Neurospora crassa OR74A: one gene and its partners. The protein of the gene in region 1 interacts with the protein of each later gene in a biochemical or structural test. Links are inferred from orthologs where the notes say so. Each region holds a gene or a part of one and is shown in the gene's direction. Other genes may lie near its edges.

Region 1 (8,965 bases):
CCGATGACATGGCCGAGTTCTGGAAGAATGAGCTTGACAGGCAGAACCGGGAATACGAGGAGCAGCAGCGGGTTTTGGAAGCACAGCAGCAGCAGGCGTTGCTAGCGCAGCAGCAAGCACAACTACAAGCGCAACGCGATTTCGAAGAACAGCAACGGCGGTTGATGGAGCAACAGCAAAGGGAGCAAGAGGCCTTGATGGCCCAGCAGACACAATGGCAGACTCAAGGGCGGCTTGCTGAGCTTGAACAGGAGAATCTGAATGCCCGGGCCCAGTACGAGCGGGATCAACTAATGCTCCAGCAGTACGACCAAAGGGTCAAGGCCCTAGAAAGCGAGTTGCAACAAATCCAGGGTAACTACGGGCAGCAAATAAACAGCCGAGACGACCAAATCCGTGCTCTCCAAGAACAACTCAACACTTGGAGGACAAAGTATGAAGCGCTTGCGAAGCTCTATTCCCAGCTTCGCCACGAGCATCTCGATCTCCTCCAAAAGTTCAAGACGGTACAGCTGAAAGCGGCTTCCGCTCAGGAAGCGATTGAGAAGCGGGAGAAGCTTGAGCGTGAGATCAAAACCAAGAACTTGGAGCTGGCAGACATGATTCGTGAGCGCGATCGTGCTCTTCATGAAAAGGACAGGCTGCAAGGCTCGAATAAGGACGAGGTTGAGAAGCTCAAGAGGGAGTTGCGGATGGCCTTGGACCGCGCCGATAATCTGGAGCGCAGCAAGGGCAACGAGCTTTCTACAATGCTTTCCAAGTACAACCGCGAGATGGCCGATCTAGAGGAAGCCTTACGTATCAAGTCACGAGCACTGGAAGAGGCCCAAGCCAAGCTACGGGATGGAAGCTCGGATCTTGAAGCGCTACTTCGCGAGAAGGAGGAGGAGCTCGAGGTATACAAAGCTGGCATGGACCAGACACTGATCGAGCTCAATGAGCTCAGGAACAACCAGGGTGTCTCCGATTCAGCCCTTGACGGCCAGCTGGACGCTTTGATCCTCTCCCAGCTGGAGAAGGTCAACGAGATTATCGACTCTGTGCTTCAAGCTAGCGTTCAGCGTGTTGATGATGCCATGTATGAGCTCGATTCTGACATGCAAGCCGGAAACCAGAACGCCTCGCCTTCCTATGTCCTCTCGCAGATTGAGAAGGCGTCTGCGAGTGCCACGGAGTTCGCTACCGCTTTCAACGTCTTCATCGCCGATGGTCCCAGCAGCAGTCCGGCGGAGCTGATCAAGAACGCCAACGTTTTCGCCGGCGCCATCGCTGATGTGTGCAGTAACACCAAGGGTCTCGTTCGCCTCGCTACTGACGAGAAGAAGGGAGACTCTTTGATCAACGGTGCTCGTTCATCTGCCCATTCGACAGTCAAGTTCTTCCGTGGTCTGTTGAGCTTCCGCCTTGAGGGCATGGATCCACTTCAGAAGACCGACGTTGTCATCAACAGCAATAACGATGTCCAGATCAACCTGCAAAAGCTGAACAAGCTTGTCGAGACCTTCGCTCCTGGCTTTGGCCAGCTCGCTAACAAGGGTGACCTTGGCGACATCGTCGATCAAGAACTCAGCAGGGCAGCCGATGCCATTGCTGCTGCCGTTGCCCGTTTGCAGAAGCTCAAGAACAAACCTCGCGATGGATATACTACCTACGAACTCAAGGTCCACGACTCAATCCTCGATGCCGCCATGGCCATTACCACCGCTATCGCGCAGCTCATCAAGGCTGCCACCGCTACACAGCAGGAGATTGTGCAAGCTGGTCGTGGCTCGTCTTCGCGCACCGCCTTTTACAAGAAGAACAACAGATGGACCGAGGGTCTTATTTCCGCCGCCAAGGCTGTTGCCAACTCTACCAGCACTCTCATCGAGACTGCTGACGGTGTTCTTTCCAACCGCAACAGCCCTGAGCAGCTCATCGTTGCATCTAATAATGTTGCGGCCTCCACCGCCCAGCTCGTGGCTGCCAGCCGTGTGAAGGCCGGCTTCATGAGCAAGAACCAGGAGAGCCTGGAGGAGGCCAGCAAGGCTGTCGGTGCCGCCTGCCGTGCGCTCGTCAGACAAGTCCAGAGCATGATCAAGGACCGCAGTGCCGAGGATGAGCAAGTGGACTACAGCAAGCTTGGGTCGCACGAGTTCAAGGTGCGCGAGATGGAGCAACAGGTACGTGATTCCTTCGAGATTTCCTTCCTCTTTCATTTCCGGTACCCTTGGTCTTGCCTATTATGGTTCATTGCTGACCAATTCATTCTCTCCCCATCACAGGTCGAAATCCTTCAACTCGAAAACGCATTGAATGCTGCTCGCCACAGACTTGGCGAGATGCGCAAGATTTCGTACCAACAGGATGAGGACTGATTGTCCCGCAACACATGGGGTTGTTGAGGTAGTATACTCGGTGGCTTCATTCATCTCGCTGGCTTTACGCTTCAATGCGCAGCGTGGGCACATGCATCCGACCAGATCCCCTCCCTCATTCTGTTTTCGTCCCGCAGCGTCTTCCAAAATCTTCATCAGATGTTTTATATTTCAACTACCCCCTCTGTACCTAGCTCGAATTCCTTTGGGAGTCATCAGGTGTTAGTGTTAAACTCAGTTTCATCCACCTTGTTCTTTTTCATCCACTGAAGTCGTCAATTGGCCGTCGTAACTTCGGCCTCGGATATGTTCCGTTCGCTCTTCGCGCGGGTGTTTGGTAACACAGGCAAACCGCCACTCCCGCTGTCATACTGCTGGCATCCGTCGTGTTTCTTTTATGGCGATGTACATCCTTTTTTTGTGGTTTCGATTTTCGCGTTCGCTGCTCGCTGCTCGCTCGATCGGTCGGTCTGCCAGAAAGTTTACCAGATACGTCAAGAGTGAGTAGGCGACCAAATTTCGTGCTTTGTGCTGCTGAATATCACCCCTTTTCCGCCTCCTCTTCCCCTTCCCCTGTCACGTCAGTCCTTCAGCCCTCGGCTGTCCAATTTCCCTACGTCTGCTTATACGGCCCATTTCACTCCCTCTCTTCGCTTTTTTGTCGCAGCCCGTTCGTTGTCTCGTCATCGGTGGCTGCTTTCGTTCGTGCAGCAAGATTCAGAACGAGAAAATCTCTGGTGGAGGGAGTTCAAGTTCCGTTTCCTTCCTATCGCCTGGTCCATTATGCTGTTTTCTCTTTTTCTTTTCGTTCCCCACGTCAGCTTGAAAGTCTGGTCTCTGTCTCCCTCTTGACTTGCATTTCCTAGTTCTTCCCATTCTGGCAGGCCAAGCTAAAGTCGAACCATCACACTCTCCTGCTTCCCTCTCCGGTCGGTTGGCGTTCACGTTGTTATGCTATTAAAGTGCTCCTGCGGAGTCGTCGTTGTCGTACCAACCAATAGCTTGGATGACGGGTAATTGGATGTACCAGTGCCAAGTATTGGATCCGCTGGTGTTTGCTGCGGGCAGATGGTTGTGATGTCCATGAGCTGTACAATAAGAAGAGATGTATGGGAGAGCAGGGCAGCGTGGGGCTGCGTTGGGCAAGCAATTGCATTCTTCCATGGCGTTTATAGGTTGGGACCTGCAGCAAAATATTCAAGGGTATACTTTTTGGGGGGGGAGCCTCTTCAGGTCGTTTACGGGTCTTGGTCGAGATATAGTATAGCCTACAGCGTCCTTGGGTTTGGGATTCTTACGTAGACTTCAATACCTACATTGGTCAATATGCGAATGAAAGCGAATCAAGCCTCAGCTTAGATAGTTTGTATTTGGTATGTCGCGCTGTTCTACGCTCTAGGTATGTACCGATGTTGCCGAGCACCAGCGCCTGCTTACCTTTACGCAACTGCAGAAGTGAGCTTCGCTCGTGCAGGCAGGACGACACTGCCACCTTATTATTTATCCCGCCTAGTAAACGGTAGGCATTAAACTTGGCAATTGTAACCTCGGACCTCCCAACCTACCCATGTACCTGCAGAAGTGAGCTTCGCTCGTGTAGGCAGGATGATATTACAACCTTAGTATTCATCCCGCCTGGTAAACGGTAGGCATCAAACTTGGCAACCGTAACCTCGGACCTCCCAACCTACCTATGTACCTGCAGAAGTGAGCTTCGCTCGTATAGGCAGGATGATATTACAACCTTAGTATTCATCCCGCCTGGTAAACGGTAGGCATTAAACTTGGAAACCGTGTGCCCTCGGACCTCCCAACCTACCTATGTACTTGCAGAAGTGAGCTTTACCGGTACTCGTACAGAAAGGATGACTGGTCACAAAGGATGAATGCAATCAGATAGGAAACCCGACCCGGGCCCTCCCAACAGGTACTTAAACTACTGTATCCCCCCTCTCAAATTCTTCTCCCAACATATAACCAAACATTGATGATTATATCATAGTGTCGACCCCGAGGATCTCATGCTTACTGCCTGCTTAGCCGCTTCCCGCAAGAAGAAGGGTATTGATACCATCGACAAGGCTTTCCTCAAGTCCCTCAAGTACTACCCCCGCGCCAAGTCCGTTCTCTCCAAGTACAAGGTTCTCCAGTTCCACCCCTTCGACCCCGTCTCCAAGAAGGTCGTCGCCGTCGTCACAAGGCTTTCCTCAAGTCCCTCAAGTACTACCCCCGCGCCAAGTCCATTCTCTCCAAGTACAAGGTTCTCCAGTTCCACCCCTTCGACCCCGTCTCCAAGAAGGTCGTCGCCGTCGTCGAGTCTCCCCAGGGTGAGCGCATCACTTGCGTCAAGGGTGCCCCTCGTTTTGAAGACTGTCGAGGAGGACCACCCCATCTCTGAGGAGGTTGACCAGGCCTACAAGAACAAGGTTGCTGAGTTCGCTACCCGTGGTTTCCGTTCTCTTGGTGTTGCCCGCAAGCGTGGCAAAATTTCTATCAAGTATTCCAGGTATGTTTCTCGCTTACTATTCAACTCTCTACTTTCCGGTCACTCTAATTCCTTTCTCATATACTGATAAATATTCTAGGATGAAGATCACCGAGTCAGTAGCCCTTGAGGTTGACAACCACAACTTCCCAACCCAGACAGTCATTCCAGCCATTATTGGATGGGTTGTCATTGGGTACATGTGGTTCTGGTATCGATCGATAAATATTTGGGTTCATTGGAATGGAGCTATCGATACGTTTACCCACTACACAGAAAACCAACAAAGAACCCGGATCGCAGCATATTGCCTGATACCTCTGATGTTTGTTGGAATATGGCCTCTCGATTTGTTTGGCTGTATCATTTGCTACGTATCGAAAGCGATCAATAACGAACAAGGACTTCCGAGGACCTTACCAATTGCGGAAACCCTAAACACAACTCCGACGAACCCAAATGTACAACACCCTGACCCTCCCCCACCTTACAATGGCGTTGGGGCGAAGTGTGCTCGTCCATGAATCACTTTGCCGATCGTGACGTTGAGCGTGGTGTTTGGCGAGGAGGTTGTAGTGATGTTTGTGACGGGTGGCACATAACAGCGGAAGATGATAGCTCTTTGAGGCTAAAGCGTGCTTGTTGTCTCTTTTTTCCCCTGAAGAGTTATCGCGTTTCTGGCTATGAGGGTAAACTCGCGGTACCAAACCTGGCCTAATAGCCCACAGACTCGCCGTTCCTATTTCGGTAGCCCTTACTCAATTATACAAGAGGAGGAACCCGAAGGTTTTTATACATTCCCACACTCAAACGCCTGTGCAGTCTTGGCGGACGTGTGCGTGTACACACACACACAACTTTTTGGCAAAACGGACCATCGATGAGATTTCATTTGCTTATATCTCTACCAAACAAAGAGATAAAAGAAATCCGACTTGAGATTCAGAGTCAGCGTACTTAAGATTATTAAGAGAATAGTTTTTTTTCCATAGGATAATTGAGTTTCTTCATCTTCGTCTTTCGTTTCAATAGTCCATTTTACCAAAAAGTTGTGTGTGTGTGTACACGCACACGTCCGCCAAGACTGCACAGGCGTTTGAGTGTGGGAACAGTAACAAGCAAGACCTAAAGAGGATATACGAGACGACAAATTCCCGCTAGATAACTAGTTCGTAATCAATTGGACTGCTCAACGTCAGCGTTCGTTTGCGATAAGTAGCAAACAGACAATCAAAGCGCAAGGGAGAATGGGAAATGAGAATCAAGGGGGAATCTGTAAGGCACGATAAATGATCCAGGGATCACTTTGTGAGATATCACTTTTCGAAATTTGTAAGCTTGCTGTGAAGCGATTGTGACCGAAAGCTTTCCTGCAGTCAGCTGAGAGTCATGGGTTTGATTGACTGGTGGCAACCAATTGTTGACCCATTGCTATCTTCGTGAACTTTATACTGGGTGAGATGCAGATTCAAATGACATTGAACTTGTTCTGTCAGACCTGCTGTCAGAAATTACATGGGATTCCCGGAAACACAAACCGCTCATCCCCCGGTCCGCCACCAGTTATATGTTCAAAGATGACAAGCCAGGTTCGCTTTGCAAATACATGTTCAAACAGCAAGCCACTTGACGAGGCCTGGGCAGAGTGCCGCGGTGAGATTTGAAGAGAGTAGTACCGAAGGGAGATTCGAGAAGCGGTACATTGGTACTGTACTGCACGAGCTGTCAAGAACCCTCATTGATTGCACAAACCTTTGCACCCTCCTTTCGCTTTTTTTTCTTGTAACACAGTAACGGCAATGCGGGCAGCTAGGGTTTCGGGAGTCTGTGACGGAACCGCACAAACATCCGATCAACCGAACGCCCGAAAGAACGGCGCCGACAAAGTGGGAAGAATGGTCGAGACCCCAGCTCTTCCGCCAGTCGGCGCCACGCACCTAGCATATGCAAACCCTTGGCCATACATGCCACAACACAAGAATTCGGTATGCGAGGCACGAAGGTGGAATACTGCCTATATGATGAACGGGCCCCTTCTTGTGACAAAGCGAAGAGTGAATGTTGCAGAATCTTGCGTTGTCTTATTGCTTGCTATATGTTACCGTGGGCTTGATGGAGAATGGAAGGTCGGCACCGCCGACCAGGCAGTCTGTCAGCACTCCGCAGGGTACGGTGACAACTTCAAATCTGGGACTTGGGAACATAAGCAACCTGCCAGCTTCAGGTAGAATGGATGTTGCGCTGGTATCTTCTAAATAAACCCAAGACTTAATGTACCTACTTGGTACTCTCCAATGCGTCAAGTTTCTTTGTGTGCGTATCTGGCAGAATCAGCACGATCCCGTCCCAGACTCTCGTCGCTACGGTACAAGAGTACCGCGCAAAGATGTCTATATACACTGTATATCCCTGTACACTTGGAGAGCGGGACGCAAGGGATTTCGACAAGCCGGGATTAGTGAACGAAATTCAAGGATTGTCCAATTAGACTGTGCGGGAAGCTGACCCCCACCAGAACTATATTCCCATATTCATTTATGGGCAGAACGTCAAACGAAGCAGCAAAATTGGAGCGAAGACAACATTGCTGTGTTTATTTTTGAAGCAGCAGACCAAGTTGCTTGTGATTGCATTAGCAGCTATACCCCTGCCTCTGACAAGTATCGCAATGCGATAGGGTTCTCTGTATGATATAATGATGCCACCTAATTGCGGAAGTTATCTCCACTCCTCCAAGACCCGAGGAGCCCCGCCATGCGTTTCTTAGCTTGTTATCTTTTCCCTCCTCTTTAAAACAAATCACAAACGCTAACAGCAAGGAAGTATTCGCTGAAAAATAAAGAAAAAAACTATCATGAGATCACTGCCGATCATCAACACCTTCGCTTCATACTCCTGGGTAGTCCTCCGTCAGATATTTCTTCGATGGAGCTCATTCCTCATCAGTTGTATAAGCTGGCGGCGGGGTACTGCTCCTAACAGGAGTAGTCTTGCTTTCAGTATCCCGATCTGAGTAGCTTTGGAACGCATCTCTGAGGTAGCCCCAGATGACGGTCGCTGTCACGTCGACAGGCCATAGTAATATGAACAGCGGTCCAATCAGAGCCGAAATCATGATTCGAGTTCGGATTTCGATCGACGACGCTTGAGAAAGAAGTCTGATATCGCCGAAACAGTTCTTCCAGATGCGCTCTGCCCTGAACCAGTAGCGTCCGAGTCCGAACAGAAGATAGGTACTTATGATCGTTACCCATTGCTGTGAGAAAGGGCTGGACGTGGTTTGGGGTGGAAGAGCTTGCTGCTCTATTGTACCGGAATGTTCGAGATGGATTTTTCGAGACTGTTGCTATTATGTTAGAAAGAAGTTGGAGAGGCGAGAAAGCGGAGAGTAGAATGGTGAGCGAGAGACATACCTGCGGGTCGGAAAAAAGGGTTGGTCTGCCAATGTGCTCAATTGTCTTTTCGACGGGAGGGTAGCGTAGGAGTGAGTGTACGGTAATAGTGATTAAACAAGAATGATTGAATTGACTTTTGGTAAACTAATGCGATTGGAATGATTTGAGCACTCGATTTCCGATTAATTGGGAGAAAACTGAGAAAGATGTGGTTGGAATGGGAGAAGAATTGAAGGGAGCGATATGATGGTTTAAGTACCTGTAGGTATGCTTTCATCCTTGAGACCACGTCGTCCTTCCTTCCTGTACGAGCAAAGTTCACTTCTACAAGTATAGGTAAGTAGGTTCGGAGGTCCAAGGCTACGGTTACCGAGTTTAATGCCCTCCGTCGGCTAGGAGAATAACGTGCTTTGGGGTTTCCTTGTTGGGGATCAGGGACTGGCAGTCAGTTGTTGCCTTATTAGTGCGGGACGCCAAACCAACAGAAGGTTAAACTAAGGGTCCATGCATAAGCGGTGCCACCAATAACGCATCGGGACTCTGCCCTAATGTCTCGAACGCACATGTCGACAAGCAACCAAAACCTTTATGTGATGATAAACCGAAAATCAACGGGGAAAGCTGCCATTCCTGGCCGAGACGGAACGTCGCAGGATACGTGACCGGGACCCACTGAAGGGTACAGTTCCTGCGGGGACCCGGACTCGTAGATAGACCAGTCCCGCCTT
Region 2 (11,125 bases), on another chromosome or scaffold:
AGGCCGATCCATACTAACGGAAAATCTCCAGTCCACCTCATCCTCGCCTGAACAAAACCCCATTGACCCCTTGGTTCCCGCTCCCGCTCCCGCCATCATGACTTACGACTTCACTGCCGCTGGGGGAGACGCCGTCTTGCTAGAACAACTGGCCTTCGACCAGCAAGACCACCAGCGCTACTATCCCATCATCACCTCGACCCAATCACCCCAGAACATCACCTCGACCGCGCTGACCACCATGTCCCAAAGCGCCCGTCAAAGCCTCAGCCCGGGTGCCACTTGGCTCCCGGCTGATCTGTCCGGAGGAATGAGCGCACCCAACTCCATCCACTCGCCAAGCAGCAGCATGTCGCCTTCGTCGCCCGAGGACCAGAATTGCCAGTCGCCTGGGAATAGCGTCATGTCCAGCCCTCTTCAGCAACAACAGCACTCGCCTCTCCAGCACTCGCCTCTGCAGACCGGCACCCACTTGTTCCCCGACTGGACCGCTTTCCCCATGCAGACCCAGCAGCAGCAGCAACAACAGCAGCAGCAACATGTCTCTGATATGCCTCAGTTTATCTCGAACGAGCCTCTGCTTGCTCTCACCAACCACTTCATGCCCAACTTCCACCAGCCCAGCGCTTTCGATTATCTCCCCGCCACCACCCAGGCCGCCATCGAAAACACGCTTCATTTGGAGGCTCCTTTCAACCACGCCATCTCTCCCGTCGAGGAGACCAGCCAGCAACTGCAGTGGAGCACGGGTACGGGCACGCAAATGGCGAACTGGCAGGATTTTGAGATGGCCATGAACTTCAACCAGCATAACGAACTTGCCCGGATGCCCATGGGAAGCCACTCGCCCACGGGCAGCTTTCTGGAAGTTCTGTCTTTGCACTCTGGAAGCGACAATGGCTGGGCTACCGTGGACATGCCTTTGTTTCAGGATTACAACAACTTCACTCAGCCCCAGCCTGCGCAAAATACCGCCATCTTCAACCCCGGCCAGACTTTGCACTTGAGGACCACATCTGAACTCTCACAACAGTCTGACTTTACCGAGTTCGGAAGCTACGAGGAAGTTACCTTCCCCTACTCGCCCTTCTCCACCGAGTCCGATGGCTTCATGGATATGACCAACAACCGCCACGGTTGCTGCTCCGGTGACCACCACCACCACTCTCCTCAACCCACTGAGATCAGCCCCTCTTCCGCCGTTGCTCCCGTCCCTATCAAGGCCGGCTCTTCGAGGGCCGTTACTGCCAATGGCTCTGGCTCGGTTTCGCCCCCGCCGAGGAGAATCACTGGCCCGAGAAAGAGCCCTACTGCCAAGCCTTCCAAGACCATCGTTCGTAGGACTAACTCGACTGGCAAGAAGGACGGCACTGGTGAAAAGAAGGTTGGCAGGCGTCGTGGACCCCTCCTTCCTGAGCAGCGTAAGCAGGCCAGCGAGATCAGGAAGCTCCGGGCCTGCCTCCGTTGCAAGTTCCTCAAGAAGACCTGCGACAAGGGTGAGCCTTGCGCCGGGTGCCAGCCTTCTCACGCTCGTTTGTGGCAGGTGCCTTGCACTCGCATCGATATCAAGGATATTGGTTACTTTATGAAGGATTGGAAGGCCGACTACGAGCGTCACCTCGGCCGCGGCATGTCCGTCTTCAACGTCAAGGGTTTCGCCCAGAAGGAGACCCTCATGTGGATCACCCACGGCTACGGCTTCTGCCTCCCTGTCATGGTTCGCGAGGTGTTTGTTGCCGACGAGAGCTGCTTCCAAGTCGACTGGGTCGAGTCGACCTTGACTGACCAGGAGCCTATCGATTTTGAGATCCGCACTGAGCGCCTCGACGTTGGTCATGAGGGTGTCTCTGTGGAGGCTCTCTCCGAGTACCTCGACAAGCATGTCGATGAGGGCTTCGAGCAGTTCATTGACGACCATTTCGAGGGTACTCCCTTCATCACCGAGCTCTTCAAGACCGCTCATAGGTTCTACGTCAAGGAGCGCCTGCCTGTCATTCGCAAGGCGCTCAAGCTTGTTGTGGCTTACAACCTCACTCTTCACATTACCATGGTTGAGCAGCCGCCGACGGAGCAGCCCATGGAGGGCCAGATCGATGACGAGGATTCCAAGTACTTTGGCAAGGTTGTCGCCCCTGTCATGATCAATTTCCAGATCAAGTGCGCCATGGCCGATATGTGGCGTGAGCTCCAGAAGGAGGTCCTCGAGGAGCTCTCTGCTCTCTACTCTTCGGTCTACAGCGGAGAGCGTCTCAAGAACTGGCCTACTATCTTCATGCTGGCTGCCATCCTCTTGGCTGTCTGGGAGGAGATCCAGTTCGACTGCCATTACCGTGTGCCTGACCCTATCGCTGTCAACAAGTTCTGTGACGATATGGAGTCTACTCCTGTTGGTGTCATTGTTGGCCTCTTCCACGCCATCTCTCAGAAGCTGCCCGCCTTCACGGAGTGGGATACTCGCAGGCATGGTCAGCTGCTTAATAACAACGTTGCCGTCTGCGAGGCCATGACCGAAGTTAGACAGCATGTCCTCAAGCATGGTGAGTGATGACCCCTCATTTAATGTCAGCATGGTGTGACCCTACATACTAACCCCGCGATAACAGAATCCTACCTTAGGACCCGTCAAGAAACCAAGTTCGACCGCTATGACTTTGACTCACTATCAAACAAGTTCCTGTCGAAGCTGGTCATTCGGGCCAACTAAGGTTGTTTTCTTGCTTGCTGCACTCTGCCTCTTTTGGTTGCGATACCCGTTATCCACGTTACGGTTACAGCACTTTACAGCAAAGCTCGCAAGAGCTGGTCTGTTCCGGTTTCCTGTTTTCCTCTTTATCCTTATCTCATGGGGCCATTGAGCGACGGCGTTCTCATCTTTATTTCATTATGGCTACTATTTTCTATAGTCAACCATCTTCTCCCTTTTTCTGTTATCTTTTGTGGCATTTTTTTTGGCCGCGCACACTCACTTGGTGGCTGGTCACCACCGCGAACAACACGATACGAAATGACTGACGTCCCATCATGACGGATCAATATTTGATGAATACACATTTGACGAAACCCCAACGAATCTACACAAAACACACCATACACTACTACGCATACATCGCAAAAAAGTTAAAACCAGCACGATCTGCATGTCTGGCACTTTTGATAGTTCAGTTGGGAGAGAAGAAGTCGCTCACGGGAAAAGGAAGGGCATGGGATGAAGGAGGGTAAGCGAGTGGAAAGGGTTGTTTGAAAGGATCGAAGAAAAGCACAACTCAAAGGGGAGGAAGAGGAGGAAAATGGGTTTGCATTGGGTATCTTGGCGTTTTTTTTTGTCTATCTGATTTGGTCTTTTTCTTTTGGTTTACCTACATATAGATATGGATTGATAGGTGGACTTTCTTGCATAAGCGCGCGCGGGCAAACCGCGACCTAGGCGAGAAATCCTCTTTTTGAGAAATATTTATTGGTTATTGTTAATGAGTATTAGGCTGTTCGAGTGCTTGTTTTGGTGTGATGTTGTTGAGTGTACTACAGCAGGCAATGTTCCCTCATCAGAGAAAAACGAAGAGAGTGGTTGTTTGTTTAAGGCCAACTTTCATCCACAAGTACACATTACCTGGTTCTTCACAGGTTGTCATGGAACCGACTATGGGAAGGGCCACAGAGCAAACGAGTTCTCGAGTCTTGTAGAGTTGCCTTGGGTTGTGTGTACTTGTTTCATTTCAAAGACGCAAGTCATTACCACGCAAAGAAAGCCGTTGGCTCGTTGGTTCTGGATGAGTGGAAAAATGCATTCCAACTCTTACGATAGAGCCTAGGCCAGACGAGTACATAAGTACTCAAGATCAATGAGTGAGAAGGATTGCGAACGGCAACCAGGCACCTGCATTGAACTTGGTTCACTACACGCATTGACAATAAAAAGTATCATGTACACCAATCTGATGACGTTCAGGGTTGTCATTTGATCATGGGATGTCACAACCCGAGCCGAATGGGTGTATTGAACGGACCGTAAGGACGATTCCCGCATTTGCGAAGACGGGAGTTGTAGGCGTGACTGCGCGGGAGTCCCCGGGATCCCGTGCAGGAGGTGATGCCGGCCCCGGTCTCACCCGAGGTGGTTGGCAGGCCTAGTAGCGGGCAGGGCGGAACTCGTCACTTGGCTCCAGGAGTTTGTGATGTTGTGCTGCACAGCTTACCTCCCTCTACTGTACATATTACACTCGTGCGTAAAGGACCCAGCATTCTGATCGATGATGGTAACTCGCGATACTATGGATCATGCGTGAACGGAGGCTAGAGACCGTCAATAGCGGAGCGACCCTCCTAAAGTGCGGGGCGGTGGAGCCAAGAAAGAGGCCACGATAATGCTGGGCGATAACGGGAGGAACGGAGTCACGACATCATCGGTCGGGGGCTGGTGGGAACCCTTATGGCCAGGCACTGCAGTCAGGAGGTCTCCCATCTGTCACCGGTCTTGAATCCTTACCGGCGTCAACAGCCACGGTCGGTCGGAAAGCCGATAGAAAAGCGAAAGAGAATACCTGGTAATAGCTCCCCGTTCCCGTCCGGTTCAGTTGTCGGTGTCCCGCCATGAACACGGAGAACTAACGAAGCTCATCGTCGCACCAGACGGAGCGCTTACCTCAGCAGCCTTTGCAAAGGTCGGTGGAAGAACCAACCGTGAGTCCGTGACACCAGCTGAGCATTCTGTGGTTTACAGTGCCAGCTGACTCGCCCCTTTACTGTCTGGAGCTGAAACGATGCCTGGCCGGGATGCACCTCCCGTCCGGTTGTTCTTTCGTTCGACGACCAACACCTCGACCCCTTTGGTGACACTCTTTGTGGTGTTGGTTAAAGACAAAGTCACAGGTCTCTTTGATTTTATATACTCATCTTCATGTCTTCTGGTCATTTCCTCCATTGCTGGAAAATTGCGATCCAACCGTTCACTCTTCCCTGTTTGCCTCTCGGTGCCCTCGATCGGACCACGTCATTGACCGCTCACTTCGTTGGGGGGTTCGCTTATCAAATGCGGGGAACCAGCAAGGTGCACGTCGGTATTCCATGATGCCAGCTGGACTGCTGCTGTGTGAAGCATCGAGCAAGAGGCCATCAACAACCTGATAGAGGGAACAATTATAATAACATGGAGAGAAGCTTGTCAAGATGCTGGCAAAGTAACGAGAAGTCGAGATGGCACTCTCGGATTTGTAAACAACTGAAACTCGAAGGTCCGTCGTCCAGCCACATGCAGATCATTCTTTGGCTTATTCATCCAGAGAGAACCTAACTGAAGCAGGGCAAACAGCCCGGCTGAGGTGACTGACGCATTGACGGGCAAACGGCTGGGTGAGTGCCCGCCACTGCAGAAGGCGTTGACAGTGCGATCAATCAGCCGCGGTCACTGTTGGGGGGGATGTCCAACCACTCCTGCCAACGGGCAACAGCCAACAGTCAAGGGGGAAACTGTCGTCTGACTGGCTTCTTCTCGCGCCTTCCCTCCACTTCTCTGTCACTCCCAACCGCCAAGTGGCTTGTGCGTGGCCTGTCAGTGAAGGTGAGTGACACACCACTCACACCGTGGCAGGCGTTGCAAACGGACCAGTGACGATCGACTTGGGACCTGGCACCTTTCCGCTTCCACTCCAGTCCCGTCACCTCTTCCCCTTCACTCAGCCCCCCCGCTTCGCTTCCCTTTCCAGGCAGTGGAAGCCTGGCCCCTCCAAGTTCGCCATCCTGATTCCTGCCACTTCCGCCGCAGCCAGCACCTGAACCTACTTATTTAATCCTCCCCGCCCATCTGCATCCCCGATTCCATTTCTTCCGCTTTCACCATCTCTCTCCATCGCCATCATCGCAGGAGTGTTCATCCACGCACATATCATTCCCGCCACTCGATTCTAGTCATTTCGCTTCATCCATCAACAGTCCATTCGTCCACTGCACAACCCCCATCATGCAGATTTTCGTCAAGACTTGTAAGTTATCGCACGCTCACCGCATCATCACTTTACCATCGATCGACCGATGCTAACTATCTCTTCGCAGTGACCGGCAAGACCATCACCCTCGAGGTCGAGTCGTCGGATACCATTGACAATGTCAAGCAAAAGATTCAGGACAAGGAGGGCATTCCCCCCGACCAGCAGCGCTTGATTTTTGCCGGCAAGCAGTTGGAGGATGGCCGCACCCTTTCCGACTACAACATCCAGAAGGAGTCTACCCTCCACCTTGTCCTCCGCCTGCGCGGTGGTATGCAAATCTTCGTCAAGACTCTTACCGGCAAGACCATCACCCTTGAGGTGGAATCGTCCGACACTATCGACAACGTCAAGCAAAAGATCCAAGACAAGGAGGGCATTCCTCCCGATCAGCAGCGTCTCATTTTCGCCGGCAAGCAGCTTGAAGACGGCCGCACTTTGAGCGACTACAACATTCAGAAGGAGTCTACCCTTCATCTCGTTCTTCGTCTACGCGGTGGTATGCAGATTTTCGTTAAGACGCTTACCGGCAAGACGATTACTCTCGAGGTTGAGTCTTCCGACACCATCGACAACGTAAAGCAAAAGATCCAGGACAAGGAGGGTATCCCACCTGATCAGCAGCGTCTCATTTTCGCTGGAAAGCAGCTCGAGGATGGTCGCACCCTCTCCGACTACAACATTCAGAAGGAGAGCACCCTGCACTTGGTGCTCCGTCTTCGTGGTGGTATGCAGATTTTCGTCAAGACCTTGACGGGCAAGACGATTACGCTGGAAGTCGAGTCTTCGGATACGATTGATAACGTGAAGCAAAAGATCCAGGACAAGGAGGGTATCCCGCCTGACCAGCAGCGTCTGATCTTTGCTGGTAAGCAGTTGGAGGATGGCCGGACCCTCTCTGATTACAACATTCAGAAGGAGAGCACTCTTCACTTGGTGCTGCGCCTCCGTGGCGGCCAGTAAGCGGATTGTCGTCTTTGTTTCTGATTCTTGATGACGAGCAAGGGTTCATTTGGGCGTTCAGCGTTTATTGGGTTACTTATTGCATCCATGGGTTGGGAAATGATGACAACCATGAAACAGGGCATATCTAGCCGAATCTAATGGCACACGCTTCATACATACAGCGATGCCATAATAAAGACTATATTTACGGTCTCAAACATGATGTCTCTTGGTGATTTGCTTGTGTCTCAATTCGTGAGCTTTTGTTATTCCCGTCAACCTGTCATCTGGTCAATTGGGGATGGAGTCGGACGTGTAAGTCAAGATGGTGGTGCAGTGGGTTGGTACACACCGTGCGAGGTGACCGTTGCGTGGCCGAAAGTGGCGCCCTTTTTTGGTGGACAAGATGCATCATACGTGAAAGATACGTACCGACCGCCGAGTTCAGTTCGCGCTAGTCCGGCCGTGGAGCCCTCCCTCCCCCCCTGTGAAGGACGATCCAACGTCCAACGTCCAACGTCAAGTTCGTAGTTGTGGAAGGTTGAATGTGAAGAGGACATCCGGAAGGACCTCTCATCCTCTCTAATCACCAGGGCAAGAACCATCACTGCATGGAGTTTGGGCACACATGAACCTGCAGAGATAGGCATCGGCGACTTGATTGACGTAAGGCCCGCGTCCAAGGTGTCTTAATCGACTCTTCATCTTCTTGATCCTTCTCTGTCCTTCTCTTGCTCTTCCACTCTTACAGTCAACGCAATACTCTCAATATTACACTTTCATCAGATTTTTCATCAAAGCATTGTTGTTTCTCGACCATCACAACAAGGAATCATTTCTTTGCGACCATACCATGAATATGCCATGCCTGTCTACCGCTATCATTTGAAGTTTGAGCTCTACCCCTCGCCAGATCCGACGCATAGCGCGCCCGCCGCAGCATTCCACCCCGATATCTGGTTACCTACCAAGGACTCGTCCATATTTGACGAGCTCCCCGCCCACCCTCGTACCTGGCAGCTCAAATCTTTGTCTTCAAGGCCATCGTCCAGGAGGAAACAGAATCGAGATATCATCCAAGGAGAAGGGCAAATCGAAGAGCAAGAGAAGAAGGGCCATTCGGAGAAAATTCCTCGAGCCTTGCCAGAATCGCATTTGGGACTTCTCAACGACAGCTCAGACCCCGAGGCGGAGGAAGGGACGGAAACCGGCGGAGTTATCGATTGCGGGGCATCCAGACCAGATTGCCAGAACCCCGAAGACAACAGGAACATCGTCAGGCTTTCAGGCAAGCAATCGCGCGCGACTTCTCCTCCGCCAAGATTCACGTCTGGGCTAGGGCCACGGACGGCAGCTAAGGACTGGCGCTTTGGAAGGATCAGCATCGAGAGCCTTGATCTGCCACGGGACGGGCATCTGCAGCGACACGCACAAACCGCGGCGGAGGACAATACTCAGAAGAAAGGCAAAGGGAAAGACACCCACAGCGCCACTGCTGGAACTGGAAAACCGGTAGCAGCCAAGAACAACAAGTCAGCAATGGCTGAGTCACTGAAGGATCAAGGACAGCAATCTCAACAAGAGAAAAATGGCAACCAAGAACGTGCGTCCCACGGTACGCCAGCGGCTTCTCTAGGCCCGAACCTCGGTGGCATGGGCCAGGCCACCAAGGGACGATACATACCCCTCGAAACCAAAAACACGGAGGTTGGGTGGGGCATCGTCCATCTGTACCGCGAGGCCGATGAGAGCAGTGCTCTTCGCGCCGGGGTGGGTGCAGGCAGCGCCAGCGGTAGCAACGGAACTGCTAGCAGCGGTGACGACGGCACTATTCTTTGCATCACTGCCGTTCCCATGTACATGAGTCCGAGTGACTTCCTGGGCTTCATAGGAGAAAAGTGGCGCGATGACGTGAGCCACTACAGGATGATCATGACGAGCAAGCTGAATCGGTACATGGTTTTGATGAAGTTTAGGGATCCGCAAAGGGCGAGGGATTTTAGGGTTCAGTTTAATGGGAGGCCATTTGACAGTATCGAGGTGAGTGACTCCTGGACTACATGATTTCCTGGCGTTGCTAATGGCAACTTTCTCGAAACCATAGACCGAGTTTTGCCATGTCGCCTACATCCAATCCATCACCGTGGAATCACCTGGCGGCCAGAAAGGTTACAGCACGATCACGAGCAACGCGGGCGGAAATGGCAACCCAGTCGACACCCTTCCCTCACCCAGCAACACCCTCAACCTGCGACCCTTCCCTCCCCCTACCCCCAACCTGATCGAGCTACCAACCTGCACTGTCTGTCTTGAGCGTATGGACGATACAGCCGGTCTCATGACCATCCTCTGCCAACACGTCTTTCACTGCACTTGTCTCCAAACCTGGAAAGGCTTCGGCTGCCCTATCTGCCGCGCAACCAATCCCAAGCCTACTGCAGAGGAAAGCAACCAGGAAAACCCGTACTCGCGACCCTTCGGCTCGGGACCTGTATCTAACCTCTGCAGCGTCTGCGACGAACCTTCGGACCTCTGGATCTGCCTGATCTGCGGCAACGTTGGGTGCGGCCGGTACAAGGGCGGTCACGCCAAGCAGCACTGGAAGGAAACTGCCCACAGCTTCAGCCTGGAAATGGAAACACAGCACGTCTGGGACTATGCGGGCGACATGTGGGTGCACCGCATGATCCGCGAAAAGGGCCAGGGCAAAGTGGTCGAGTTCCCTAGTCATCATATCCACAACAGCAACACATCTTCAGAGCGCAACAACACCGCGCGTGCCCCTGCCCCGGCATGGAGCTCCCAAGAAGAGACCATGGCGGCGGTTACGGGTGCGCCTCTACCCCATCCCCCGGTACCCGAAGACCAAGAAGTGGTCCCCCGCGCCAAGCTGGACAGCATCGGGCTCGAATACACGCATCTCCTCACCTCACAGCTGGAATCACAACGCATCTACTTTGAGGAAATGGTCGCCAAGGCAGCGGACAAAGCCTCCAAAGCATGTGCAGCCGCAGACGCCGCCTCGGCCGCCTCTACCCGTGCCATCCAAGAGTTGACCGATTTCAAAGAGGAGCATTTCCGACTCAAAGAAGAAGTCGCCTCTCTAGAGCGGGACCTCACGCGCGAGCGGAAGCGAGCCGACAAAAGCACGGAGCTGGCGAGGAACTTGTCGAAACAACTCCAAGAGGAGAAAAGAGTAGGGGAGGGTTTGATGAAGCGGATCAAGCATATGGAGAAGGAGGCCGAAAAGACGCAGGAGGAGTTGAAGATGTTGAGGCAGCAAAATGAGGAGCTGAAGGAATCCAATCATGATCTATCCATGTTTATTAGTGCTCAGGATAAACTCAAGAGTATGGAGCAGGAGGGACAAGTGACGGCTGAGGAGTTGGAGGAAGGGGGGACGGTGCTGATTCCTGCTGGGGAGGGGTCGAGTGCGAATGGAGGACAGGGGGGTGGGAAGAAGAAGGGGAAGGGGAAGAAGTAGGTTTTCGTTCCTGAGAAGTGACTTTGGTGATGTATGCTTCTGTATTGCTCCCTGTAGCTCGGAAGGGGGTGTTGGGAAGCACGGATTCAGGTAGAAAGGATAAAGGGGTAAAGGGGTAAAGGTTATTTGACCTTTAGCGAAAGTGGTTTGCGACATGATTGCATGTACCGATTAGCGACAGAATTAGGAAATGGCTTGGGAAGGAGTATGAAGGCTGCCCGTTGCCTCTAGCGGCATAGTTTGCAACACGGTACATACGATTGGTAGTAGCAGCACTTCGACACTCTGATCTCTGTGTCTTCACCAGATAGAGTGGGTTGGGAGGCGCTGGTCCTCCACGTTGTACACGTTGTATTTGATAGTATGATAGGAAATCGTTTCTGCTTGTTTATTATGTATCGGTGCTGGCAACATTTCTCAGTCTTGTTGGGCTTTTGTAATATACTGCTAACGTGTGGCCAAATATACTAGTACTGCCAGCCATCCATCACTGAGACTTCCTAATCTATGCGTTCCCTAAAGATGGAATTTCTGCTGTCTGAGACTCGTCGACCAAGGTAAATCACCGAGCAGTTTTTTTTTTTTTTTTATTTTTTTTATTTTTTTTTTTTTTTTGGGTTTACCATGACAAAACCTACAATCACTTGTTGGAAAGCTTCCGGGCTTCTGAAATCCAGTAACACGCCTGCTTAGCCTGGCACTAGCACGGCTGTTCTTG
Region 3 (10,116 bases), on another chromosome or scaffold:
ACGAGATGAGAAGCAGGACGAATGCGACACTCATCGCCTTGACCTCGGGGCGCGCAATCTTGATCAGACGCCAGACCTCGGCGAAGCCGGGCTTGGTGCCTGATTGGGATTTGCCATCCTTGGAAAGACGAGCGCTCATGTTGATATGGGCGGCCTTATGCGCCCTCTCGCTTTTCGTAAAACCGTGTACCTTGAGGTGTTCTTCAGATGTATATTCCTTGACCTTTTCAACGTCCTTTGCCGCCTCTTCTGCTGTCTCTGCCGCAGCTTCCTTGGCCGGCTGCTCCCGTAGGCGAGTTTGTGAGGTCGATAGCTGGCGGAGAAGGCCGAAGGGGGAAGTCCAACGTTGGGATTGTACGCATGGTCGTGATCCGGGATGGGAGGATGAGAAAGGAACCGAAACGATGGTAAAAGATGTCGTCGAGGGCCGCTGAACTGACGAGAACGGACGGCAGAATTTTGCGGACAGAATCGAGGAAGTCATAGTGGGCGATCGTTGGAACGGCAGCAAAGCCGCGAGCCCGGCGCCGCTACCGCCGCATTGGGGGAGCAGCACGGCGCGGCGCACCGCTACCCCCGTAACCATGGCTTGAAGTATATGTGTCTTGGGTAGGTCGAGTGTGTATGTGACTAGGTACTAGGCTCGCTGTATCGTAGAGTTTCGGTGTCGAGTTTCTATCATATCATGTCGGTGTTGTGCAGTGGGCTATGTTACTAATTGCCTGATGCGAGACCGCTAGCGCGCATGCGCGCCTGTTTCTGCGCTTGTCAATGCCCGGTTCCCTTGAGTCCCTGCACTGCGTGCGAATGGGTGAGTTTGGTGATGTGGAATGTGGTTGAGGAACTGTTGAAGGAAACGTGGAGAAAGAAGTGGTGGAAAGGTTCCGAGGTCGAGGGACGGGACGGACGGCGGGGGGGATGATGGAATGAAGTCGGGATGACACCCAGGCAGTTCGGTCGGCTCGGCCGTCGGTGCAAAAACCCTTGCTTGTCCCGGCGGACGGGATCTCAACTTCAGTGGTCAATCGCCGGTTTGGCGCTGCAGCAACTGCGATTGATTCGCCGCTCAAGCTCTGGGGACCACGACGGCGGGAGGGCGGCTTCGATTCCCTTGTTCAATTGTCCCTCTCCCCCCCCCCCCCCCCCCCAAAACAGGGCAAAGCGCGCATCTTTCACCTGCAGTCGGACATTTCGTCATTCAGCAGCGAAGAGCAAGCCACCACCCGACAACGATGCCGGCGGCATCCACTGTCAATTCCGGAATGCGTTCAACGATGTCGGTACCTTCTACAAGTGGCCCGTGCTCAAGCTTGGCCCATTCCACTCATGCCACTTATTTGTACCTCAGGGGTATTGAAGCTGTGCGGACGTCATCAACTTCAAAGGTCATCATGGTAATGAAAAAAGACGAAAAAGACGATCGCTTGTGTAAATGCCGATGATTTTATTCACGATATTTCTACAGCGAACCGAATGGCGCTTTGCCCGTCAAGAATGAAGCATGCCAATAATCCTTAGTCCTGTCCTTCTGTATCTCCACATACTCGCTCCAGAGAAGGTTTCAGGCCCGCGCCAAAATGCCACATGAATGATGATTCTCGCCATACAGCCATTATCGTTCCCCTAGACCAGCAATAACGGCAACAACTCCAGAGTGTTGGGCCATATGCACTCAAACTGATACAAAGGTAGAAAAACTTCAGTTCGGTCAAGTTTTGCTTCCAAAAATCTTCTCCCCGTCCTTGTTCTAAATCGTGCTTTCCTTCTGGATCATCTCGGCGACATCGGCATCTATGCCTACGTCAGGAATGTCGGCAGTCTCGTCGATCTTGCGCTTTTTGGCCTCTCGAGTTGGAACAGACTCATATTGAGAAGCGAGGGCGGACAGCATCTCAATGCCAGGAGCAGATCCAGTTGGGTGAGTATGACCGTTCTGCGGCTGTTGTTGCTCAGACGGGCGATGATCGTAGAAATCGTCGTGATCTTGGACGTGGGGCGGCGTGAGTGCTTCAACCTGAGGACGGGCGATGCCGTGGCCATCCGAGCTAGATGGAGCGCGCTCCTCACCGGTAGCCGGCTCTTGGGTATTGTGAGGCAAACCTCCAATGATGCTGAGCTCAATTGCTTGCTTCTTCTCCTCAACTGCCGTCTTGCGGGTGCCTAGATCCCTGAGCTGTGATTGCTCGGCCTCCAAGGCCTGTCGGTTGGAGCTCAACATCTTCTCCAATGCGCTGATCAGCTCTTCGCGGGTCTTGATGCATTCCGTCACGGCTCCCTCAGCATTGGCAAGGTTTTTAAGAAGCCCGTTGAGTCGCGCGGCATACACTGGCGCCTGAGGAGGAGCGTGGGCCGGATCCATCAGCTTGCTGTAGTCCGAATTGGCGGTAGTAAGGCTTGTCTTCAACGCCTGGGCACTCTTGGAAACTGCCTGCTGTGAGGTAACCAAGGGTGCCAACTCTGGAGGCACCGCTGCAGCTGGCGACGACAACGATGTGGAACCGAACATTGTTCCACCGGAGCGGGCTGAGTCAAGCTCTGGATTGAACAAGTTAGTAGCTTGTCTGCGGAAGGGCTGAGGCCACGGCTTACCTCTTAGTCGAGAGTCTATGGCGTCCTGGACTTCTATGGGGAATATCTTGCGTTCTCTCCAAACATCAACAACCCTTCGGAGCTTGTTCTGGATGTCTGACGAGGCGCCCTTATAAGACAACGCGGTTGCATCTGCGATGAATGGAGAGAAAGCCTGAAGGAAGTCATCCTTGTTGCGAGCTTTGGATTGCTGCGTCACCTCTATGAGAAAGACGAATAAAGTCAGCATTCAGTCCCAAACGAGAAGAAAGAAACCCAGAACGAACGCCGGGGGATGCACATCACATGCAGCCTATGTGGGAGAGCCTGGGAAATGCACGCACCGTTTGCAAGATAAATCATGTTGAGCCTCTTGGGACTGGGGAGGTCCTTCAGCTTGGTCAACCAGAGATGGACAGTCTGGGCAGCATGTCGCCTAAGATACATCAACAGTCAGTTCGGCGGTCGAGACATCAAACAGCAGGTGAATGCGGTCGTCGGTCGTGGGCAGCGGGAGCTTACCGATGGAACATGATCCACTGAGCGGTGGTTGCAATGCTCTCGTGAGTCTCAGTGAGTGCAGAGAGCTTAGAGAGCACAGCATCCTCGTTATACGCCATGGTGAAGCTTTAGGCGAAATTTGTTGGAAAGTGTTGGAAAAAGTGGTTGTTGATGGTTGGTTGGTTGGTGGGTGTGATGGACGGGGCAGATGTTCAAGATATGCGGTGTCGGGTTTATTCAGAACTCATCTACAGCAGTACGAAAAGGTATCCGTGATGTTTGCGTGTAAGTAGCAGGGACTCCAGACGCGGCCGAGTGGTGATCTAGAATATGGATCGAAAGCCCTTGGGAACAACCTCAAATGGCAGAAGCGTGGACTATCAACACAACACACTAGATGACGGCAAGAGAGAAGTGCTCAGCACGAACTAAGCACCTAGTCAAGCTCTGTGGTCCAACTACACCGGAGTCGTTTCCCTGCTATTACCAATGCTGTCACCAGGAAGAGTTTGCAGTGCAAAGCGCAAATGAGCGTGATCTGGATGCTCTGTGACAAACAACTGAAACCACAGCGAGGTGAGTGCTGAATGTTGTTGATGAAAGGAAGAAGAAGAAGAAGAAAAAGAAGAAGAAGGAAGAAAGAAGTTGTCGACGGGAGGTGGTGGGACGGAACGAAGCAGACGTTGGAGCTTCCTCCATCCGTCCAATGCGAGGGCAGGCAGGGGAAGAGGGACAACGGAACGCCTGCCGCACGCAGACAATGGAGTTGCCTGCCGGTACCTAAAGGTAGCTGTTACTACCTCTACGGCTTCCCCTGGCCAAATGGAGAGGCCCAAGAGGGTCGCTGTTACTGTGGACAAGTGCCAAAGTGCCCCAGTGGCCGCTGTGAGTGGCGTCCCGTCGCAACCTGGAACCTGGCGCGATCAGGAGCGCTGGGGTGGGCTGCAACTCGGACTCCCGCAGTGCAACACCAACACCAAAAGACACTTCCATCAAACAACGAAACACCTTGCCTGTTTCGCAGCTTTCTTCGATCCTCCGTCCTACCCAATATTTCCGTTTTTCAGTCCACTTCTCCAGCCTCCAGTCTTGTCCGTTCGCGCCGATCTACCAAAAGTCAAATCACACCACCCACATCATGGCTGACAGATTCCCCTCGCTGGAGGAGTTCGACTCCGGCGGTAAGCTTGGCGTTGTTTGGAGATCCCCTTACCTTGCTGTTACTGCCTGCTAACATTCAAACCCCCACAAAAGCCCAGACCGAGATCAAGGAGGGTTCTGGAAGCCCCTCGGCCTCCAACTTCCTCGAGCGCGAAAAGGCGCTTCTCGGCGACGATGCCAACCAATTTGCGACAGTTGAGGATGCTGGTTTCGACGATGACAACGACCTCCTAGGGGGTGGCCTTGACTCCTCCGCTGGCGCCGGCGCTGGCCTTGAGACTAGCGCTGCTTTCGAGAGCCAGTTCCCCGACCTTTCCGCAGGCAACGAGGTACGACTAAATAATGATGATACCAAAGATGTCGACACAGCACGTAATCATGGTCTTGGGTTCTAACATGGGGCATCTTCACTTTAGTCTGTTGCGCCAGGCGGTACCATCACTGGCGCCGGTCCTTCCGTCACCTACAACTCTGGATATGCGCCATACGCCCAGGAGGAGCAAGAGCCCGAGGTGATCAGAGAGTGGCGCGAGAAGCGTGATGCGAAGCTTGCCAAGCGGGCGGAGCAGTTCGCCGCCCAGAGAGCCGAGACCATCGCGGAGGCGCAGAAGAACATTGACGAATTCTACGAGAACTACAACAACAAGAAGGAGAAGGCCATTGGGCAGACCCGCAAGGAGGCCGAGGAGTTCCTTGCCAGCCGCGAGGACACCACATCGGGAGGCACGAGCTGGGAGCGCATTGCCAAGCTGGTTGACGTTAGCGGCAAGGGAGCTAAGGGCGGTGCTGCTGGTTCCGGCAAGGAGCGTTTCCGTGAGCTCCTGATAAGCCTAAAGAAGGACGAAAAGGCCCCCGGTGCCTCGGGGATTTAAAGCGCTTACTTGATCTGCCCCCATGACAAAGGGAACGCCTGGTTACCACTATTCACAGGTTTCACACCTCCATGGCCACTACTGCCCCATGGCCAAAAAGCCATAATTTTGTAATGATAGAAAAGACTTGACAGCTGCAGCCATCAGTGTTTGGAGCTTGGTAATCGAAGCGCCGAGACCCAATGGATCACGATTTCCACGGTTACAGTAGCTCTCCCAAAGGTGGTCGGTGGAATCCATGATGCAAATAGGGAATATCGGCGTGGCGGCCTACTTCTTGGAGGTATCACCCAAAGCGGCCTGCCCTCTGCCGCCATCTATGCTGCTCTTTGCGACTATACACATATTCAAAGGGATTCTCGTGCTTCTATCATGACCAGTAGCACCGCCTTCGTTGACTATCGTGGTAGGACGGCTAATTTAATCCTCCGAGAACCAGGTGTTGTAGCCGAGAACCTTGCGGGACATGGCGTACATGGAAGCTGATGTACAGTTAGCGGAAGGAGCAAGGACGAAGCGATAAGCCATCAATGAAGGTATACGCACCGCCGAAGGTACCCCACATGGCAATGTTGAAGGTGGTCATGATGATGCCGCTGCGAGGGCCCTGTTCGCGATTTTGTCATCAGCCCTTATCCCGACAAAACCTCCCTCTCCGTCTCTCCCTCTCCTCCTTCCCATCTGTTGATTCCCCAACCATCCTCAAGTGTCGACTTCAACTCACAATCTTCCAGAGGCGGGTGTGGTTCTTGAAGGCCTGCTGGTAGTAGCGCTGCTTCTCGGGGACGTGGTTGGGGGCGTTGACGAGGCCGCTGCAGTCGGGGAAGAAAGAGAGCTGTTAGCCTGGGATTCCAAAATCGTACGACGAACAATAGTGCGTCATGACGACAGGTAATTGGACCTGGGGCGGCGTCCGCAATGCGCGCAGTCGCTGGAGGGTCGTCGGATCGTCGAGGAGCTCGCAGCCGGAGGGGAGAAGCTTACGGCATCTTGAAATTGTTGTCGGGGGTCGTTGGGTGGAAGATTCCGGGGGGGTGATGCGAGGGGTTGGTGTGATGATGTCGAATGCGTGGAAAGGACGGAGAGTTAGCTTTGAACCTCTCACTGCTTCAGGTTTCTCGGCTCGGGGCTTCCTGTGGTGCACGGACTTGTGGATGGTGGAGACTGCAGACCCGACGGCGGAAGCTCTGCCTGCCTGCCTGTTTGCCAGGTGTAAGGTTTGGTCAGTGCTCACAGCTTTCAGCTGCTGCTGATGCCTCGACATTGACCTTCAGACTGAGCAGCTCAGCAGACTCACTGCCTGCCGGGAAGGATGGGGGATTGAAACACATGATCGTAGGATGACTAAGAAGCAAGTTAGGGAGCGATCCCCGGCCACACCTGCAAGGTCCCCTCCACTTTTGTGTCCCCTCCACTCCAGAACGTCAAAGCTTCCAGCCCGAGGAGTTTCCACATCCCCTCACAACCCCATCCGTGGGATGGACCGCCCGCGATACCCCAGAACTCGAGTCAGTCAACGAAGCCCCAGGTACCTCGCGATCTATACGAACGATACGAACAACGACGCCAAATAACCCAGCGGCAACCTCGAAGCGAAAAAGAAAATGAACATGATCGCATCAGACAGCCGCTAAGAAGAGTCCCCGCCGCTCATATGCCCAATTCTCTGTGTCGAGCGGCCACAATTCCATTATGCGAGTCGTGCCTCCTGTGCTGCGACATGTAGCTCGCTCGCGCCGCTCCACCATATCGCACTTATACACGGACGCTGTGCACTTACAGGCGTCTGGACTACCATCATGCGTCAACTTTTCAACGAGCGCGTGCTGGTCGCGGTCGTTGACGGCATACGCACTTTCGGAGACTTTGGCGGCGGAAGAGGACCACGGTGTTCGGAATACAAAGAAGGCACGGGGCTCGGCAGTGCAGGCGCTACCAGGCCAAGCGTCTACCACACACGACCTGTCAGCATGGTCGGGCTTTCGGTCATCCCGCATCGCTAACCAGCCCTTCAACCGTGACGATTGGGATGTCTTGACGGCCACCGAGGAAGACTTGCGCTTCCAGTGTGATGTCCACGCAGATTCGCCCGAAAATGGAAAGCCGCGACTGGTTGACTGGCCACAGTATGCGAACGACATCACCCTTTGGTCGTGCATACTTGAGCACCGCCAGCGCACCGAAGGAGATGCCGGAGTTGCAGCAGTTCTCGAGGGTCTGCAAAAACGGCGAACCTTGACGGAAGTGGAAGGCTCAACTGCCGAGAAATTCTGGCAAGCAATACTAGATGTGGCCGTTCACGATCAAGCAACACTGCACAGTGCTTGGTCCTATGCTGAGTGGCTCCACAGTGACCGCGGAGTCCTTTGGCCAAACCTCTACGCAGGTGTTGTATCTTTCTTCATAGCACAACAGGATACACAGTCAACGCTGCTTTGGCACTTACGCCTAAGCTCGTCGTTTTGCTCCGACTCAGAACCCCTTACCCACGTGCTGAAGCAGTTCATCACTAATTCAGACGCAAAGGTTCGAGAAATCCTACAAGCACTGTACATGACGAGTGTCCGCCAAAACCTCTACGACGAGATGATTCCTTACCTCTTCGCCCAAGGAGAGGAAGGTATTGCCCGTGATTGGCGTCGGCTGTTTATTTCTCACAACGACTTGCCAACAACCGAAGCTTCGCGGCCATTCTTACAGTTCTTGGTCGGCTTTCATCCGAAAATCCAGTTGACTGACAAAGAACAATCCTTCCTTATACCGCCGAGTAAAGCTGCGCTTCCAAGTAGTGCAGACCTGAACAGCCTGTTAAGGGACGACAAGTCGCAAGTTGGTATCAACTTCAACTACCAGATCTCCAAGGGTCTGGGTAATATCTTCGGCATCAAAGAACAAACAGATAATGACAGCTTGGGCGCTAGATGGTTTGCGACCCTCAACTTCTCCATCGAAACCATCATTGGTACAATCTCGACTCTCGGCTTTTCTGAAATCGGGCCACTTTCGTTACAGTCTATAGCCCGGCGCGAACCCTCCCCTGGCCGACTCCTTCATCACATTGCACAGCTGCAAGAGTCTGGAATCGGAATTGGTAACTCGAGCTATTCGAAAACACTACAGCACTTTGCTACAGTTGGCGACGAGGACCTGTTTGACGGTCTTGTCAATACAACCATGCATCCGGAAGAATTTGACAACTTCGCCAAGCACCCTTCATTCCTGAGTTTTGCTGCTGCGGAGGGAGACTTTATGCTCTGTCGGCTCCTTGTGGAAGCTAGCCATCTCAACACAAGGCAGATTCTGAAAGAGTCAACGAATGAAGCATTGTTGGTCTGTTTGAAAGCCAACAGCGCTTCACATATGGTTGGCTTCTTGGATATTATGGCCGATGGAAATATCGAAATGATGCACTCTACGGCCGATGCCATATCAAAACATGTATGCGAAGAAATAGTACCACGGCCTGCGAAAGATGGCGTGGACATTTCCTCCTATGCCACCATGTATAGACGGCTTCTACGATTCGGATATCCTCTCGCGTCCAAGGCTTCTCAGATCATTCTTTTCAGACTCGGACGTGAAGGACTGCATGACGAGCGCGACGATCTTGCATTGGACATTGTTAGTTTCTATGAGGGTACTCTGGGACCCGAGGGGGGCTTTTTCCGAGTTCACAAACTCGATCTACCCGACGCAGTCGCTCAGCAATTGCCCAAGTCAGAAAGGTTTATGAGCCTTCCATCCGGAATGAGCACAACGAGTCCCTACCATCCACTGCATTTGGTTTTTGGTAGGGAGCTCCTGGGGTCAATCATCCGCTGGGGTTTTCGCAGTTCCCGCGGCATGCCTCGGGATGCAACAGAATTTTCGAAGCCAGAACACTTCTTCTTCGCCCGAGGCATCAAGCTCGTAGCAATGCTCAAGGAGAAGGGAGTGCGGGCCGATGACTCTTGGGCGCGCTCAGTAATTGTCCCGGCTCTCACCGTACTTTTGGTTTCAGGCGAGATCAAGCGTTTTCACCGGCCCCCGAAACACGGGCATCACTATGTTACCCCGAAACTGAGGGAGACGCTTTCGCTCAAAGAAGCCATCAGGTTGTGCAATTTTGCCTGGGGTTCCTACGTCCTGGAACGTTTGCCCGAGTTGGTTCACCACTCAATGAAGGAGTGGAAGCTCAAGCTGAAACAGTCCCAGCCAGAACTGTTCATACCTTACAAACGCGAGTATGCGGTGGGGAGCAAGCTGTGGGTGAAGTATGGCCCCGGCGGTAGGCCACCGTTCGCCACAAAACTTAAACATCAACATCGACAGCAACAAGAGGAAGCAGACGCCAATCTAGTCCCAGATGCGCAAAGCTCAAGCGTTTGGAAAAGCTCAAAAGCCAAGACGGAAGACGATTTTTTCCAGGATTTTGAGGGCTTCGATCGCTTCCTCAAGTAACAGTAAGAAGCAGTCAAGCTGCTGCGGGATACACAGTACCGACCTAACTACCCATCATCTACTTCATAATTTGTCCTCCGACTTTCGATATGTGACCGCATTTTGCATGCCTTGCGGTCATATATTTGTACAAATACGCAGAGGGGATCTATAGACGATAGAAAGCACGGATTTCACAAGATCATGGTTAACAGGACATGACGAGAGCAGGGAAGGGAGAGCACGAGCTTCCGCGAGGAGGAACAACAGAACAGAACAATTTTGCTTAGGTCTGAAACAGACAGACGCTTTGCACGAAATGCACATACTGGCAACTTGTTTACATATCCGATTTTCGTTTCAACCGTCCACACACAACAATTTAGCATGATACATATATTCAGGTAGCAAGAAAGATGCTCACACGAGACAGCCACTTCCATCATTGGAGGAAGGGTATTCCACATTAAAGCTCTACCTTCACTAACCAGATACTATATACCCTCTTAAGCAATGTTTGCTCAACCTCATGCCATCCAACCGCCGGCGCTGACTTCCATGACTGGTTCAACGAGGACCAGTCGCCAACAGTACC

What was found.
Region 2: the proteins of eat-2 (region 1) and ubi form a complex in vitro, tested with the Saccharomyces cerevisiae proteins (2 studies listed by BioGRID). The link is inferred for Neurospora crassa OR74A from reciprocal best matches to the Saccharomyces cerevisiae genes SLA2 and UBI4.
Region 3: the proteins of eat-2 (region 1) and NCU04115 form a complex in vitro, tested with the Saccharomyces cerevisiae proteins (2 studies listed by BioGRID). The link is inferred for Neurospora crassa OR74A from reciprocal best matches to the Saccharomyces cerevisiae genes SLA2 and CLC1.

Annotation. Positions count from the first base shown.
Region 1 is NC_026501.1:1,862,489-1,871,453, reverse strand, and holds the end of eat-2 (cytoskeleton assembly control protein Sla2), read left to right. Parts: coding exon 1-2,162; intron 2,163-2,264; coding exon 2,265-2,357; 3' UTR 2,358-2,902; downstream 2,903-8,965. Other genes in the region: NCU01957 (AR2), read left to right, coding at 4,244-4,284, 4,360-4,863, 4,943-5,366. UniProt on the Saccharomyces cerevisiae protein: Required for cellular morphogenesis and polarization of the cortical cytoskeleton. It might act in concert with proteins such as CDC42 and CDC43 to limit the region of cortical patch formation to the cortex of the bud.
Region 2 is NC_026506.1:3,140,091-3,151,215, forward strand, and holds ubi (ubiquitin), read left to right. Parts: upstream 1-4,953; 5' UTR 4,954-5,228; intron 5,229-5,296; 5' UTR 5,297-5,953; coding exon 5,954-5,975; intron 5,976-6,045; coding exon 6,046-6,941; 3' UTR 6,942-7,493; downstream 7,494-11,125. Other genes in the region: NCU05996 (C6 finger domain-containing protein), read left to right, coding at 98-2,537, 2,604-2,704; NCU11215 (RING-10 protein), read left to right, coding at 7,788-8,963, 9,028-10,407. UniProt on the Saccharomyces cerevisiae protein: Ubiquitin exists either covalently attached to another protein, or free (unanchored).
Region 3 is NC_026505.1:4,892,297-4,902,412, reverse strand, and holds NCU04115 (clathrin light chain), read left to right. Parts: upstream 1-3,956; 5' UTR 3,957-4,207; coding exon 4,208-4,250; intron 4,251-4,323; coding exon 4,324-4,559; intron 4,560-4,646; coding exon 4,647-5,102; 3' UTR 5,103-5,306; downstream 5,307-10,116. Other genes in the region: NCU04117 (ATP-dependent permease MDL2), read right to left, coding at 1-586; NCU04116 (DUF618 domain-containing protein), read right to left, coding at 1,748-2,535, 2,590-2,790, 2,913-3,004, 3,091-3,188; NCU04114 (hypothetical protein), read right to left, coding at 5,523-5,584, 5,649-5,709, 5,827-5,914, 6,087-6,091; NCU04113 (hypothetical protein), read left to right, coding at 6,795-9,542. UniProt on the Saccharomyces cerevisiae protein: Clathrin is the major protein of the polyhedral coat of coated pits and vesicles. In yeast, it is involved in the retention of proteins in an intracellular membrane compartment, presumably the trans-Golgi. The yeast light chain is important for cell growth.